Oryctolagus cuniculus: one gene and its partner. The protein of the gene in region 1 purifies or fractionates together with the protein of each later gene. This does not show direct contact. Links are inferred from orthologs where the notes say so. Each region holds a gene or a part of one and is shown in the gene's direction. Other genes may lie near its edges.

Region 1 (6,243 bases):
AGCTGGATTGGAAGAGGAGCAGCGCGGACTAGAACCGGCGCCCATATGGGATGCTGGCACTTCAGGCCAGGGCTTTAACCCGCTACGCCACAGCAATGGCCCTACGTATTTTTTTTTAAAGACTTATTTAAGAGTTAGAGAGGTCTTCCATCCACTTGTTCACTCCCCCAAATGGCCACAAATGCTGGAGCTGAGCACATCTAAAGCCAGGAGCCTGGAGCTTCTTTGGGGTCTCCCACGTGGGTGCAGAGTCATCTGCTTTCCCAGGTACATTAGCAAAGGAGCTGGATTGGAAGTGAAGCAGCTGGGACTCAAACCCGTTCCCGCTGCAGGCTGGGGCTTTAAGATGCTAGGCACAGTGCTGGCCCCGTGTTTTGTTTTGTTTTGTTTTGTAATTTATTTTATTTGAAAGGCAGCTGAGAGATCTATCAACTGGTTCACTCCCCAAATGGCCCCAATAGCCCGGTCTGGGCCAGACAGAAGGCAGGAGCCTGGAACTCTATCTGGGTCTGAGCTGGATAGGAAGTGCCACAGCCGGGACTGAACTCTAACCAGTGTTCATATGGGATGCCGGCATCGCAGACAGCAACTTAACAGGCAAGCCCCAAATGTTTTCCTTATTCTGTCATTGGTTAGTAGCCTTTACAAAGTGCTCCAGTTGTCCTCTCAGATAGGGCCTTACCTCCACTTGGACCGTCAAAAACCCCAAGGGAACAAAGCAGTCACTTTAAGTCTGGATTTCTTGGTGATCGCCTTGTTCCTACACCCTGAGTATTGGCTGAATGGTGCATCCTCAAACGTGAAATCGCCAGAATTGTGTAGGGGTGAGTACCACAGAATTTCAGTCCTTTAGTGGATAGAGAAGGCCCGGGTTCCAATCTCAGCTCTCTCCTACAAGCAGTGTGACTTCCAGTAATTAATGTACGAAAGTGCCTCAGGTGTTTTTTTTCTTCTTCTTCTTTTTCTTCTCTTAAAGAAGGAATACTTCTCTCCTTTGGGTCATTGTGAGAACCACTTTACGGAGAAGCTGGAACACTTGGATGACCTATGAGTAACTCCTCTAGGTCTTGGGATGACCCTCCTCGCCCCGCCCACCCCCCACCCCCCCACCCCCCGTCAGAGAGGTGTCCCACAACATCCCTGAAAAGAGCCCAAGAGGTTTAGAGTCTTCCAGTACTATCTTAGTGTTAGACTAAATAGGAAATGCAATTAACGGGCAATCATTCCTAAGGTCCGCAAACCCACCTCTTCTCGGTTCCCAAATCGCGACACTTGTTTCCCGGGTAACCGGACTGGGTACAACACCTAATTGGGTCCGGGAAGCTCCAGGCGGAAAGTGTTTACATCTAGTTCCGGAATCTCCCCTTCTGAGGTCCGGCTTACTTTTTAGCTGAGCCGGACTCACTTGACTTCCAAGAAAGGGCCTGCTTCCCTTCTGCAGGGGTCGGCCCCTAGACTGCCCAGGAAATTCCCCAGCGGGAGTCGCCGCCGCTCCCGTTGGTGGGAAGAATTTCTCCCAAGCACGGCTTCCGGCCTGAAAGGGAAGCCCCCTCCTTTTTCTCCCAGACCGCCTCCTCCCCCCCACCCCCGCCACGCGAGGCTGCGGCGCACGGTATGGGTGTGTTTGTGTGTATTTGTGTGGGGAGGGAGTTTATAGGGAGAGTCACCGGGAGCTCCAAGGCCGCTGGGGGACAGGGATCCCGGTGACAAAGATGGGGGTGTTTTCTCTGTCTTCTACCTGGAAACCCCAAAGGCCCCGTCAGGCACCGTAGACACTTCCTGGGGCCCAACGGAAGGTCGTACCACTCCAAAACGTCCCCCTTCTTTCCTGGGGAGTGAAACCCAACCCCCGGTGTCCGTTCCAGCGGAGCGTCAGCGGGCGATGCCCCGGTCAACCGGGCGGTCCGGGTTCCGCGCCGGCGCAGCCTCCGGCCTCAGCCAGGAGAAACATCTGCCTGTCGGGCTGGGCTGGGGCGAGGCAGCCGTGGCCTGGGCCACGGGTGAGGGCAGAGTAACCGGTGGGAAGGCTCCGTTTTCACGAAGGACTCGGGTGAAGCTGCAGAGCTGCCTTTGAGCCCTGACTCCTTGGCTTCCTGGGTCGATGGAGATCTTGTAATGGAGTGGTTCTTCGTCTCACACTAACAAGATGCCTGATTACCTCAGGATCGAGGGGTGAGTGAGCGTTGGGGTGGTCGCACAAAACCCCTGGTGACCACACACGTGAATATTCTTGTTAATCTAGTTTTAGGAAACTTCTGTACAAAATAGGATTGACGATGCCCCGAATGGAGAAATTTCGGTCATCTTGCATTTCATGCCTAAAAGGCATCAGTTTCTGTAATTGTAGACGGGTAGTTTCTGACGCTATCGAATCTGGGTGTTACTTCATTGCAAACTTTGGGGTTCCAGATTTGACATCTGATCTGGACATTGATATATAGTCGTTTGCATGAGGCAAGTTAGAACTTGAAGGGAGCTTCATCTAGAAGATAAGAATGGAGATATTATACATTTGGCCTTTGGTACCGGTTTCTGCATTCTCGGATTCAAGGAACAGCAGGATGAAAATATTTGGGGGGGAAAATTGTCTGTACTGACTTTTATTCTCATTATTCCCTAAACAGTATAGCATGATAATGATTTCCATGGCGTTTATGTTGTATTAGGTATTAGAAGAAATCTAGAGATGCTCTAAAGCCTACAGGAGATGTCATAGGTTATATGCAAGTACTGTGCCATTTTATATGAAAGTACTTCAGAAAGTTAGTGGAAGATGGAATTAAAAGCTAAGTTTACTTTGTTGCCAAAAAAAGAGAGAGAAATCCATGCATATGAGGGGTTCTTTAAAGAGTTCATGAAGAATGTATATTGTAAAAAAAAAAACTATATTGATTTCAAATACTTTTTCTACCAAAGTAGACATACCTTTTAATTCAATTTTCCATGAGCTTTTTGAAGTATCCTTGCATAAGGGATTTGAGCATACATGGGTTTTGGTGTCTATGGGTGGGGGGTTGGGGGTGGTGATGGTTCCAGAACCAGTTTCCATGATTATTGAAGGATGACTGTATTTGCCTAATATAAAATAGAGTTATTATGAGGATTAAATAAAAGGTGCTTAATTTTGTGCAGTCTTGTTCAAAGAACTTTAATGTATGTTATCTTCTTTCATCCTTACATTACAGGCTATTCCCCCCTTTAATGGTAAAGGAAAAACTATTCCTCTGACTTCTAGTCCAATGTTCTTTGCTTTACCTCATGCTTTTTTATGAACTTTAATAAAAGCAATGGTAGTAAGGTAAAGGAAATACTTACTAAGTGTTATCTATTGACTCATTTCAGATTGAAGAATGTCCCGGGTTCCTTTGGGGAAAGTCCTCCTGAGGAATGTCATCCGGCACACAGATGCTCACAATAAGGTGGGAGGTACAACCCAGTCATTCCTCAACACTTATTGAGATCATACAGTGTGACAAGGATTGTTTTGATACAGTTGAGGAGTCCAAAGTGAATGAACAATTTATTATCTACTTAAATAGATAAAAATAGTTTCATAAGTATTATATAGTAGAGATAGCTGCAAAGTACTTTAGAGTACCAAGGAAGGAATAAGGAAATCTGTGTTGGGGAATTAGAAAAGACTGCACAGGGAGCAAGCATATAGCCTAGCTGTTGAGACACCTACGACCCACATTAGAGTATCTGGGTTCAGTGTCTAACTGCAGCTCTTGACTCCAGCTTTGTGCCGATGCAGACCCTGGGAGGCAGTGACAATGGCTCAACTAATCGGTTCTGTCCCCTCATGGGTGACCTGGACTGTGTTCCCAGCTCTCAGCTTCAACCTGACCCAGCTCTGGCAATTGAGGGCATTTGGAGAATGAACTACTAGCGCGCTCTCGCCCGTGCTCTCTCTCTCTCTCTCTCTCTCTTAAATTTTCATCTATTTGAAAGGGCGACAGACACACACACACTGATATCTTCTATCTGTTTTACTCTTCAGATGCCTACAACAGCCAGGAACTCCATCTGAATTTCCCACTGCATGGAGGGGCCATCATCTGCTGCCTCCTTGGATGCATTAGCAAGAAGTTAGATCAGGGGACCTTGGCGGCTGCCACGGCTCACTTGGCTAATCCTCCGCCTGCAGCGCCGGCACCCCGGGTTCTAGTCCCAGTTGGGGCACCGGGTTCTGTCCTGGTTGCTCCTCTTCCAGTCCAGCTCTCTGCTGTGGCCTGGGAGGGCAGTGGAGGATGGCCCAAGTGCTTGGGCCCTGCACCCGCATGGGAGACCAGGAGGAAGCTTCTGGCTTTGGATCGGCGCAGCGTGCCGGCTGTAGCAGCCATTTGGGGGGTGAACCAACGGAAGGAAGACCTTTCTCTCTCTCTCTCTCACTGTCTAACTCAGCCTGTCAAAAAAAAAAAAAAAAAAAAAGATCAGGGGACCGGTGTTGTGGATATGGATAATGGTTCTCGTCCCAACTGCTTTACTTCCGATCCAGCTCCCTGCTAATGTACCTGGGAAAGCAGGCTCCTGGCTTCTGGCTTCGGGTTGGTTCAGTTCGGCCACTACGGCCATTTGGGGAGTGAACCAGCAAATGATAGCTCTCTCTACCTCTCTGTTTCTCCTTCTTTCTCTTTTTCTGCTTTTCGAATAAATAATTTTTTTTTCTTAAAAGAAGCTGGATCAGAATTGGAGGTGCTGAGACTTGATCTAGCACTCCGATTATGGATTGTGGTGTGCTAACCAGCAGCCTAACTCATTTTACCACAGCATCCACCCTGGAGCTCTCTTTTTGTCTGCTTGTGTTTCTGCCTCTAAGTAAGAAAAAAGAAAGAACATGAGACGCTTTCACAAGGTGGGTGATTTGAGCTGTGGATTTTTTTTTAAAGACTTTATTTACTTGAGAGGTACAATTACAGACAGTGAGGAGAGACAGAGAGAGGTCTTCCATCCACTGGTTCACTCCCCAAATGGCCACAATGGCTGGAGCTGAGCCAATCTGAAGCCAGGAGCCAGGACCTTCTTCCAAGTCTCCCTTGCGGGTACAGGGGCCCTAGTTCTTGAGCCATCTTCTACTGCTTTTCTAGGCCATAGCAGAAAGCTGGATTGGAAGAGGAACAGCCGGGACTAGAAGTGGCACCCATATGGGATGCCGGCACTGCAGGTAGAGGATTAACTTGTGCCATAGTGCCAACCCCGAGCTGCTGATATTTAAAAAGTTATTATTATTATTATCTTAAGGCATAGAGATAAATAATGAGAGTTCTTCCATCCACGTGTTCACTCCCCAAATGCCTGCAACAGCCTGGATTCGGCCAGGCTGAAGCCAGGAGCCTGAAACTCAGTCCAGGTCTCCATGTGCTTTGGCCATCACCTGCTGCCTCCCAGAGTGTCCATTAGCAGACAGCTGGATCAGAAGCAGGAGAGGGCCAGCGCTGTGGCATAGCGGGTAGAGCCGCCACCTGCAGTGCCCGCATCCCATATAGGTTCCGGTTCAAGTCTCGGCTGCTCCACTTCGGATCCAGCTCTCTGCTATTTCCTGGGAGGGCAGTAGAAGATGGCCTAAGTCCTTGGGCCCCTGCACCCACGTGGGAGATCGAGAAGAAACTCCTGGCTCCTGGCTTTGGATTGGTGCAGCTCTAGCCACTGTGGCCTGTGCATTGGGGAATGCATCCGTGGATGGAAGACCTCTCTCTCTCTGCCTCTCCTTCTCTCTCTGTGTAACTCTGCCTTTCAAATAAATAAATAAATCTTTAAAACAAAACAAAACAAAAAAAAGTAGTAGAGTCAGGACTCAAACCAGGCATGCCAAATGCCTGCCCCAAGCTGCTAATACTTGAACTGTTTCTTCATGGATGTATATTATTTTATCAAATATTGAGGTTCATTCCAGACAGAGAGTATCATGCACTAAATATGGCAACAGTAAAGAATGTGGCATGCTAAGAAATTCTCTCCATCCAGAAAGTAGGGAGAGTTAGGTATTAGTGGTAGAAGATAAGGCCCAAGAGGTGAATTACAGTTAGATTGTGATGCTTGAAGATTTGACTTTTCCTGTAGGCAATAAAGAAGACATAAATGGGAAGACCTTTCTCTCTGTCTCTCTCTCTCTCTCACTGTCCACTCTGCCTGTCCAAAAAAAAAAAAAAAAAAAGACATAAATGTTCTTAAGCAGTATGTGGCAACATCATATTTGTGTTTTAATTTTTTTTAGATTTATTTATTTGAAAGGCATAATTAGAG
Region 2 (7,445 bases), on another chromosome or scaffold:
TTGTATTTAGAAGATTTCCCAATCTACTCAAAACTCACATACTCCTCAACCACATTCATCACTGAGCGCCCGCTTCTCCCCTCCATGGCTTCCCTCCCACCTTGTGTACTTAGGCTCTCAAGGACCCGTGTCTTTCTGGAGAACCATTCGAGAATAAGTTGCAGATATAATGCTTCCTAAATACTTCCTCACTAGGCTCTGAAAATCCAGTTGTTCTCCAGAATAATCACTGTTAGGAAAGAAGTGCCGGACAAAGAGGAGGCAAGATACGAACTCACAGCCAGAGCAAGTTTACTCAAGGGAATAAACCTGAGAGGGGCCCTCTACCAGTGTGCACACAGGACACACACATGGTCGAAGGTCTGAACTCTTTCACAGGCTACGTTCACACAGCATAAGGCAACTGAGGGCCATGAGGGGGAAGGCGTTAGGCAGGGCTGAGCTGGTTTGCGTGGGTTTTTTGAGGGCTAAATGACTGAAGTGGGGGTCAAACTCATTTGAGGAAGAATTTGGAGGTCTAGGAAGTCCCTGGAGGATTGGATCTACTTTCAGTCACATGGACAAGGCTCCAAGGCTCATGTCCTTGCTGTGTCAACCACAGTACATGGCTCGCACTCACAGAACTTAACATTTATCCAATGCTATCACAGAGCGGACATCCTAGATGCAAGTCTTCCCAGCAGTGTCCTTTGTTAACTATATTCTTTCTTCCTCCTTCCTCTCCTTTCCACCTTTCTTTCTGAACCCACAATCTGGTCCAGAATTGTTCACTTCACTTAGGTCTCTCCGTCTCCTTTATTTATTATTTTTTTGAAGATTTTTTTATTTTACTTGAAAGTCGAAGTTTTATACAGAGTGAGAAGGAGAGGCAGAGAGAGAGAGAGAGAGGTCTTCCATCCTCTGGTTCACTCCCCAGTTGGCCGCAATGGCTGGAGCTGCGCCGATCCATAGCCAAGTCAGTCTCCTGTAGTCAAGAGCATGACTACAGGGTTCGGTTTTGTTTCTCTTGTGACACCGGCATTTTTGAAGAGTCCAGGCTAGCCACATTGCAGGATATTCTGCAGTTTGCATTGGTCTGATTGTGTCACGATTAAATTCAGGTTCCGCATTTTTGGCAGGAGGAACCATTGGTGATATGTCCCCCGTTAGCGTGTCACTTTGAAGGCTCAGCTGGTTCCTTGTGGATGATAAGTCTGGGCCGCAGTTAAGGCAGTGACGCCTAGGTTCTCCATGGGTTAACCCGTAAGTCCTCTGTGAGTTAGCACCACTGGAGGCCTCTGACTGTGGCAACTGCTGGGTGAGCCGGTGAGGGGCTGCCAGAGCCACTCCTTGCTTTCACACTGTTTTCACAGTGGGGAGAGGACAGACAATAAACCAGGAAATAACCCGTGCCAAGATGTGCAGTTTTGTGATGCATGCGGCTGGGGTGTTGAGATACAGAAACATCACTTTAGACAGAGTGACTTAAAGGTGAGACTTGAAGAGGAAAAAGGAGTCAGCCATAGGAAAGTGGGGGTGGAGGTGTCCCTTGGTCACCTGGAAGGGTGGGAGGAACTGCAAGGCACGTGGGCTCGTCTCCTGGAGGGAAACATGACAGGAATAAGGCCCTGGTCTGGTACTGGTCGTGCAGTGCACTGAGTATTCTAATACTGAGCACCGCTCCGAGCGTTTTACAAGGTTTGCCCAGTCTGGGTTCTTTGCACAACCCTGGGAAGTGAGCGCCATCAGCAGTTTCATGCTGTGAAATCTGCAGCCAAGAGAGGTTAAGTAATTGGTTCAAGGACACAGCTTGTAAGCAGCAGAGCTGGGACTCACGTTTGGATAGCTCTGACTCCATAATCTGTGCTTTTAGCTGTATCAAGGGTCTTTTTTTTTTTCTCCTTTAAAAAGAATTTATGTGAAAGGCAGAGTTAGAGAGGGAGAGACAGAGAGAAATCTTCCATCTACTGGTTCACTCCCCAAATGGCCATAAAGGTCAGGGCTGGCCTAGGCGAAGCCAGGTCTCCCATGTGCATTCCAGGGGCCCAGTGACTTGGGGGCCACCTTCTGCTGCTTTCCCAGGCTCATTAGCAAGGAACTGGATTGGAAGTGGAGTAGCTGGGACTCAAACTGGTGCCCAAACGAGAAGCCAGTGTTACAGGTGGTGGCTTAACCTTCCACACTGCAATGCTTGCCCTGGGTCTTTTTTTCTTAAAGATTTAGTTTATCTGAAAGGCAGAGTCACAGACAGGAGGAGATGGAGGGAAGGAGGGGGAGAGAGAGAGAGAGAGAGAGAGAGAGAGAGAGAGAGAGGCAGCCAGGACCCCAACCAGAGTTCATGCGGGATGCCCAGGCGGCAGGGTAATCTACAATGCTGAACTCCATCAAGGGCCTTATCCAGGAAGCAGCATGAAAAAGGATGGGAGTCAGAGCTGGCTGGCTGGGTGAGGGGCCGCTAAGAGTGGGGCAGAAGGGGGAGCCAGCCACAAGGAAGACCCAGAAGATGCAGGAGAGAAGAGAGTTCAGGGCTAGAAGGCACAAAACAGGCCAGACTGGCCACCCCAGCTTAACCAAGTGACCGAAGTGGACGTTCAGAGAAGGCTCTGGAAGAGAACGTGGGGGACGGTGTAGGAGAGGGGTTTTGTGGGGAAGACTTGGGATGAAGGAGCATGGGGTCTCAGGACAAGGAGTCTGCGAGTGACAGAGCAGGGTCCACAGCGGGGAAAAGGGATTAAAACACACACACACACACACACACACACACACACACACACACACACGAGGGGAGGGGACATCTTGAGGTGGGGGAGGTTCTGCGGTTGAAGAGTGCGTCACTGGGGAAGAGCGGTTGGGTAACAGGGCTATCAAGACCGGGTACTGCGGGAGGTCTTGGGGTGGGTAAGGTCTGGATGACCAGAGGTGACGGTCTTGGGGTGGGCGTCTCGGGGTCAGTCCTCAAGGGCTCAAGGGCAGCCGACGGCAGGCGGGGTGGCCCTGCGGGAGAGACCCGGCCAGCCCCAGGATGCGGAGAGCCCGACCGGCGCGCCGGGGCGGGGGGCGGGGCCGGCACCGCCCCGCGGGTCCCCCCACGCTGCAGGGGGCGCTGTGAGCCTGGGCGGCCCCGGGCTGGGCGGCGGCCGCTCCTAGTGAGCGCGGCCCCTTTTCCGGGTTTCCTCCGCCTCCTCCTCCTCCTCCTCCTTCTTCGCCGCTGCCCCTTTCCCGGCCGGTGGCTGCCGCTGCCGGTGCCGTCGCCGCCGCCGTCGCCGCAGCCGCCGCCGCCGCCTGGGGGCCGCGAGCCGAGCGGAGGCCGCCGCGGAGCGCGAGCGCCGCCCGCCCCGCCGCCCCGCCGGCTGCTCCAGGGCCGGGCCGGCTCGGCCGGCGCCCCCCGCGCCCCCAGCCCGCCCGCCCCCGCGGGCCCGGCCTGGCGCGGCCGCCCGCCGCCGCGCTCCTCCTCCTCCTCCGGCGCCCCGCGGCCCGCCGCCTCCTTCGCCCGCCGCCCCGCGCCCCCCGCCGCGCCGCCGCCGCCGCCCTCTGCGCCCCGCGGCGCCCCCCGGTCCCGCCCGCCATGCCCGGCCCGGCCGCGGGCAGCAGGGCCCGGGTCTACGCCGAAGTGAACAGCCTGAGGAGCCGCGATTACTGGGACTACGAGGCTCACGTCCCGAGCTGGGGGTAAAGCCGCCGCCGCCGCCGCCCCCCGCCGGGGCCTCTCACCCCCACCCCCGCCGGGCCGCCCCCCGGCGCAAACCGCACTCGGCCCCCGCGATCTGCCTCCCGCAGGCCGCTCGCCGGGGCAGGGCTGGGCTGGGCGGCAGAGGCCCCCACCTCGCACATGTCCTCCTCTTCCTCTTCCCTCACCCGCGGCCGTTCCTCCCCCGCCCCCAGCTTTGTGCACCCCTCTTGCCCCTTCCCTCCGGCGGGGGGGGGGGGGGACCAGGGCCTAGCGCGGAAGGGAGGCAGCAGCCGCCCCTCAGGCTGGGGGTTTCTCTCGGGGTGGGGAGTCAACAGCTGTCTTCTATGAAAATGCGCTGCTTTTTTAGTTTTCTGACACGAGGCGGGGTGGGGGGGATTTTTTCGAAAGATGTGCAGATTCTCAGAGCTGGCGCTGGCTACCTTCGGGGTGTGAAATAGGGGGCAGGTGCTGTGGAACCGCGGGCAGGGCGGAGTGCTCCCAGGGTCTGCGAGATGGATGATGGACTCAGAGCGTCTACCCCCAAGTTACAAGGGACCAGTTAGGTTGGGAGCCCTGCAGAGCAGCAGGAGCCTGGTGTGTGTTGTAGCTTTCATATAGGGACTGAGTTGCAGCATGGATTATAGACACTTCCAAGCGCTTGGTTCGTGGAAGTGGCCGGCCGGGGCGTATCGTGGGCATAGGCTCGGCGGACCCCAAGGCCCAGCATTTATGTGTGTCTTTTGCCTCTCACAGTAATCAAGATGATTACCAGCTGGTTCGAAAACTTGGTCGGGGAAAGTATAGCGAAGTATTTGAGGCCATTAACATCACCAACAATGAGAGAGTGGTTGTAAAAATTCTGAAGGTGAGTCTCCTATAAGTGGTTTGTAACTTTTTCCCCCACAGGCCAAAAGGACGTGAGTTACCCGAGCCTCGTTTCTAGAACGAGCTGTGCCGGCTCTTGCGTTATGTCTCTTCTGTCCAGGACGCCCGGATCCCACCCCGTTTTCCTTGGACTTAAGAAAACACGCAGACCGGCCTTAAATCTAAGCAGAACGGATCAGGAACACCCTTGTTCTAAAATGTAAATTAGAGGTTCCCAAAGCAAAAATCCCAAAAGGGCCCCATTTGTTACAAAATAAATAAATATTCAGAGGGAAGAAAAGCCTTTTCATGGAGATTCCATGGATCCGAGGGCTCTTTGAGCGCTGTGTTTGTTAGTCCACAAAGAAAGTTGGAGAAAATTGGAGCCAAGGGGAAGGAAACTCCTCGGGGTGATAACCACTTGTTTCTCCTCTGACAGTGAAGTTTCAGGTGGGACAGCTGAGGGGCGCAGGGAGTGCTGGGAGCCCTGGAGCTGCTTATCAGCTAGTAAAACTGGAGTTAGAAGGCACTTTTAATCACTCAAGCTGTTGGAACAAAACTGTCTGATGTCTGCTTTCGCAATCTTAAGTTTGATGATAGGCCTTCTGTTATCTCTTGAGTGAAGACGTAATGAGCCTGAAGAGTTGGCTTCAGGTAACTGTGTGGCTTTAATAATGTTTTACTGGGTGTCCTGCAAAGTTGTTCTTAGAAGCTGTCATGGGTCTTCATTATCGCCAGATCCCTGAACGTGTGTTTGGAGAGGGTCTGTGGCGGGGGCTGTGGGGCTCAGAAGCTGCCTGTGCATGTCAGGCTGTGCGGGGAGGCCCTGTCCTCTCAGGCCGGGCTCAGGCTTTCTGGGAGCCGCCTCTCAGAACCGTGCCCAGCAGCCTCGCTCAGTGCTGTCCTAGCCGGTGATGGAGGAGCAGGATTCTGGTAGAGAGAAAGCGGCAGAGGCCGCTGTGCCGTCAGACGCTGGGCACATGAAGTGAGGGACGGGTGTTAGGGATTTGCAGACTGGCGCCCCCTCCCCTGAATATGAGCCACCAGTGAAGTCCCAGGGCCTCCCCCCACCCCAACAAGCATAAATATGTGAAGAAATGGTGTTCCTTCAAGGCAGTCACCTGGGGAGGCCATGTAATTCCTCTGTGTACATAAGCAAAATGCTTTACTGCAGGCTGCTTTGACTTGAAGCAGAGCTGAAGTTGGAATTAGAAATAGCCGTATTCCCCAGCTGTCTGTCTGGAAGAATGAGTGCTGACTCTGAGGCAGTTCCAGAAAAATGTCTAAACTTTGGTGCAACAGCAGCATTGTTAGAGTAAGTGCCATTTCCTGTGTCCTCTTTGAACGGCGCAGCGTTCAGGTGTGTGTGTGAATGCCTGTCTGTCCAGGAGAGCATCGCGTTGCTCCTGGGTCATCCTTGCACAGCACTTCCTGGTGACTAGAGAGTTTTTCCTGTTCTCTGAAGCGTGCTGGGATGTTTTAGGGAACTCAATATGAAGACTGCCACAGGTGGTTTTTACAAAGGAGAGGCCCAGGCACAAAGAAACTCAGCCAGCTCACCACCAGCACTGCTGCTCCCTGCTTTTCCCTCTCAGCTTTCTTCGGCGCTGGATTGCGGGATCTTCATGTTGCGCCCAGAGTAAGTTCCAGTGTTCTGGAATGAGCTCCGCAGGCCCCTCTGGTGTCCAGTTGATGAAGCGTTTCTTGTTGCTTCTTTTCACGGTGCGGCGTGAACCACCTTGCTTCCAGGGCTGAACACTACACTCCTTCTGTATGCTTTCCAAAGCCCTGCAGCGTTTCTGTCCAGATGTTGTTCCTGTCTAAAGGATGGGATAAGAAACCACTAATTGTATTGTTGGGAAAGTGGATTAAAAGTACTGTTTTTTTAAAGAGTAAGGTCTTTATCCAGAGTTGCGCTCCGTTACTCAGAGTTGAAGTTAGGACTGATGCCTACCGCTGTGCTGTTTGCTCATAGGAAATAGCTGCTGTGTTTAGAGGAATGGAGAAAAGGCTTCCCTGTCGTGTATGCTACTGCATACGTTGCAGTTGCAGGCAGGAGCTAAGTGTTAATGTGCACACGTGACCGAGATGCAGGGGGTCCCCCTTGGGGAGGAGGAGTCTTCCCTCTCTCTGCTGTCAGTTACAAGTGTCGTCAGTTCTTCCCTATAGCTGATAGAGGCTGCAAGGGGAGTGACTGTGGAGGAGTTTTATGTCATTCATTAATGACATACATTGTCATGGGTACATTTCCAATTATTTCAATGATCAGAATGTATTGGGGCCATTACGTTTTAGGAATTTAAAAACTGGTGTGCAAAATGCCTCTATCAAGTAAAGTTCTGAGACTGAAGTCTCAAGAGTTGTTCAGTCACTATGGAGCTTATACTTTTTTTTTTTACAGAAATTGTTTTGAGGAGAAAAGGGGGGAAATGGTAGAGGTTTATATAGCAGAACAGAAAGCTCCTTCAGTGTCAGAAATTTCATCTTTTGGTTTCGGAAAAAAACTGTTCTTCAGTTCCTTTTTTATTTTTTAAAGATTTTATTTATTTATTTGAAAGTCAGAGTTACACCGGGAGAGAGAGGTCTTCCGTCTAATGGTTCACTCCCTAGATGGCTGCAATGGCCGGAGCTGCGCCGATCTGAAGCCAGGAGCCAGGAACTTCCCTGTGGTCCCCCATGCGGGTGCAGGGACCCAAGGACTTGGGCCATCTTCTACTGCTTTCCCAGACCATAGCAGAGAGCTGGATCAGAAGTGGAGCAGCTGGGTCTCCAACCGGCACCTCAGGCCAGGGCGTTAACCCGCTATGCCACAGCGCCAGCCCCATTCAGTGCCTTTTTTAAAAAAGTGAGAAAGATACACACAGAAATAAAAAGCCTTTGGCCGTTTGTGACAACTTGTAGAATTTGTGCACCCTGCACGGGAGTGTGGACT

What was found.
Region 2: the proteins of NKAPD1 (region 1) and CSNK2A2 purify together in Homo sapiens (affinity purification with mass spectrometry; 5 studies listed by BioGRID and IntAct, counting the BioPlex papers as one, with this or other methods). This does not show direct contact. The link is inferred for Oryctolagus cuniculus from reciprocal best matches to the Homo sapiens genes NKAPD1 and CSNK2A2.

Annotation. Positions count from the first base shown.
Region 1 is NC_091432.1:104,018,880-104,025,122, forward strand, and holds the start of NKAPD1 (uncharacterized protein NKAPD1), read left to right. Parts: upstream 1-1,473; 5' UTR 1,474-1,612; exon of another isoform or gene 1,613-2,172; intron 2,173-3,342; 5' UTR 3,343-3,350; coding exon 3,351-3,419; coding exon of another isoform or gene 3,420-3,426; intron 3,427-4,000; exon of another isoform or gene 4,001-4,837; coding exon of another isoform or gene 4,838-4,855; intron 4,856-6,243.
Region 2 is NC_091449.1:41,551,183-41,558,627, reverse strand, and holds the start of CSNK2A2 (casein kinase II subunit alpha'), read left to right. Parts: upstream 1-3,398; 5' UTR 3,399-3,544; coding exon 3,545-3,648; intron 3,649-4,402; coding exon 4,403-4,514; intron 4,515-7,445.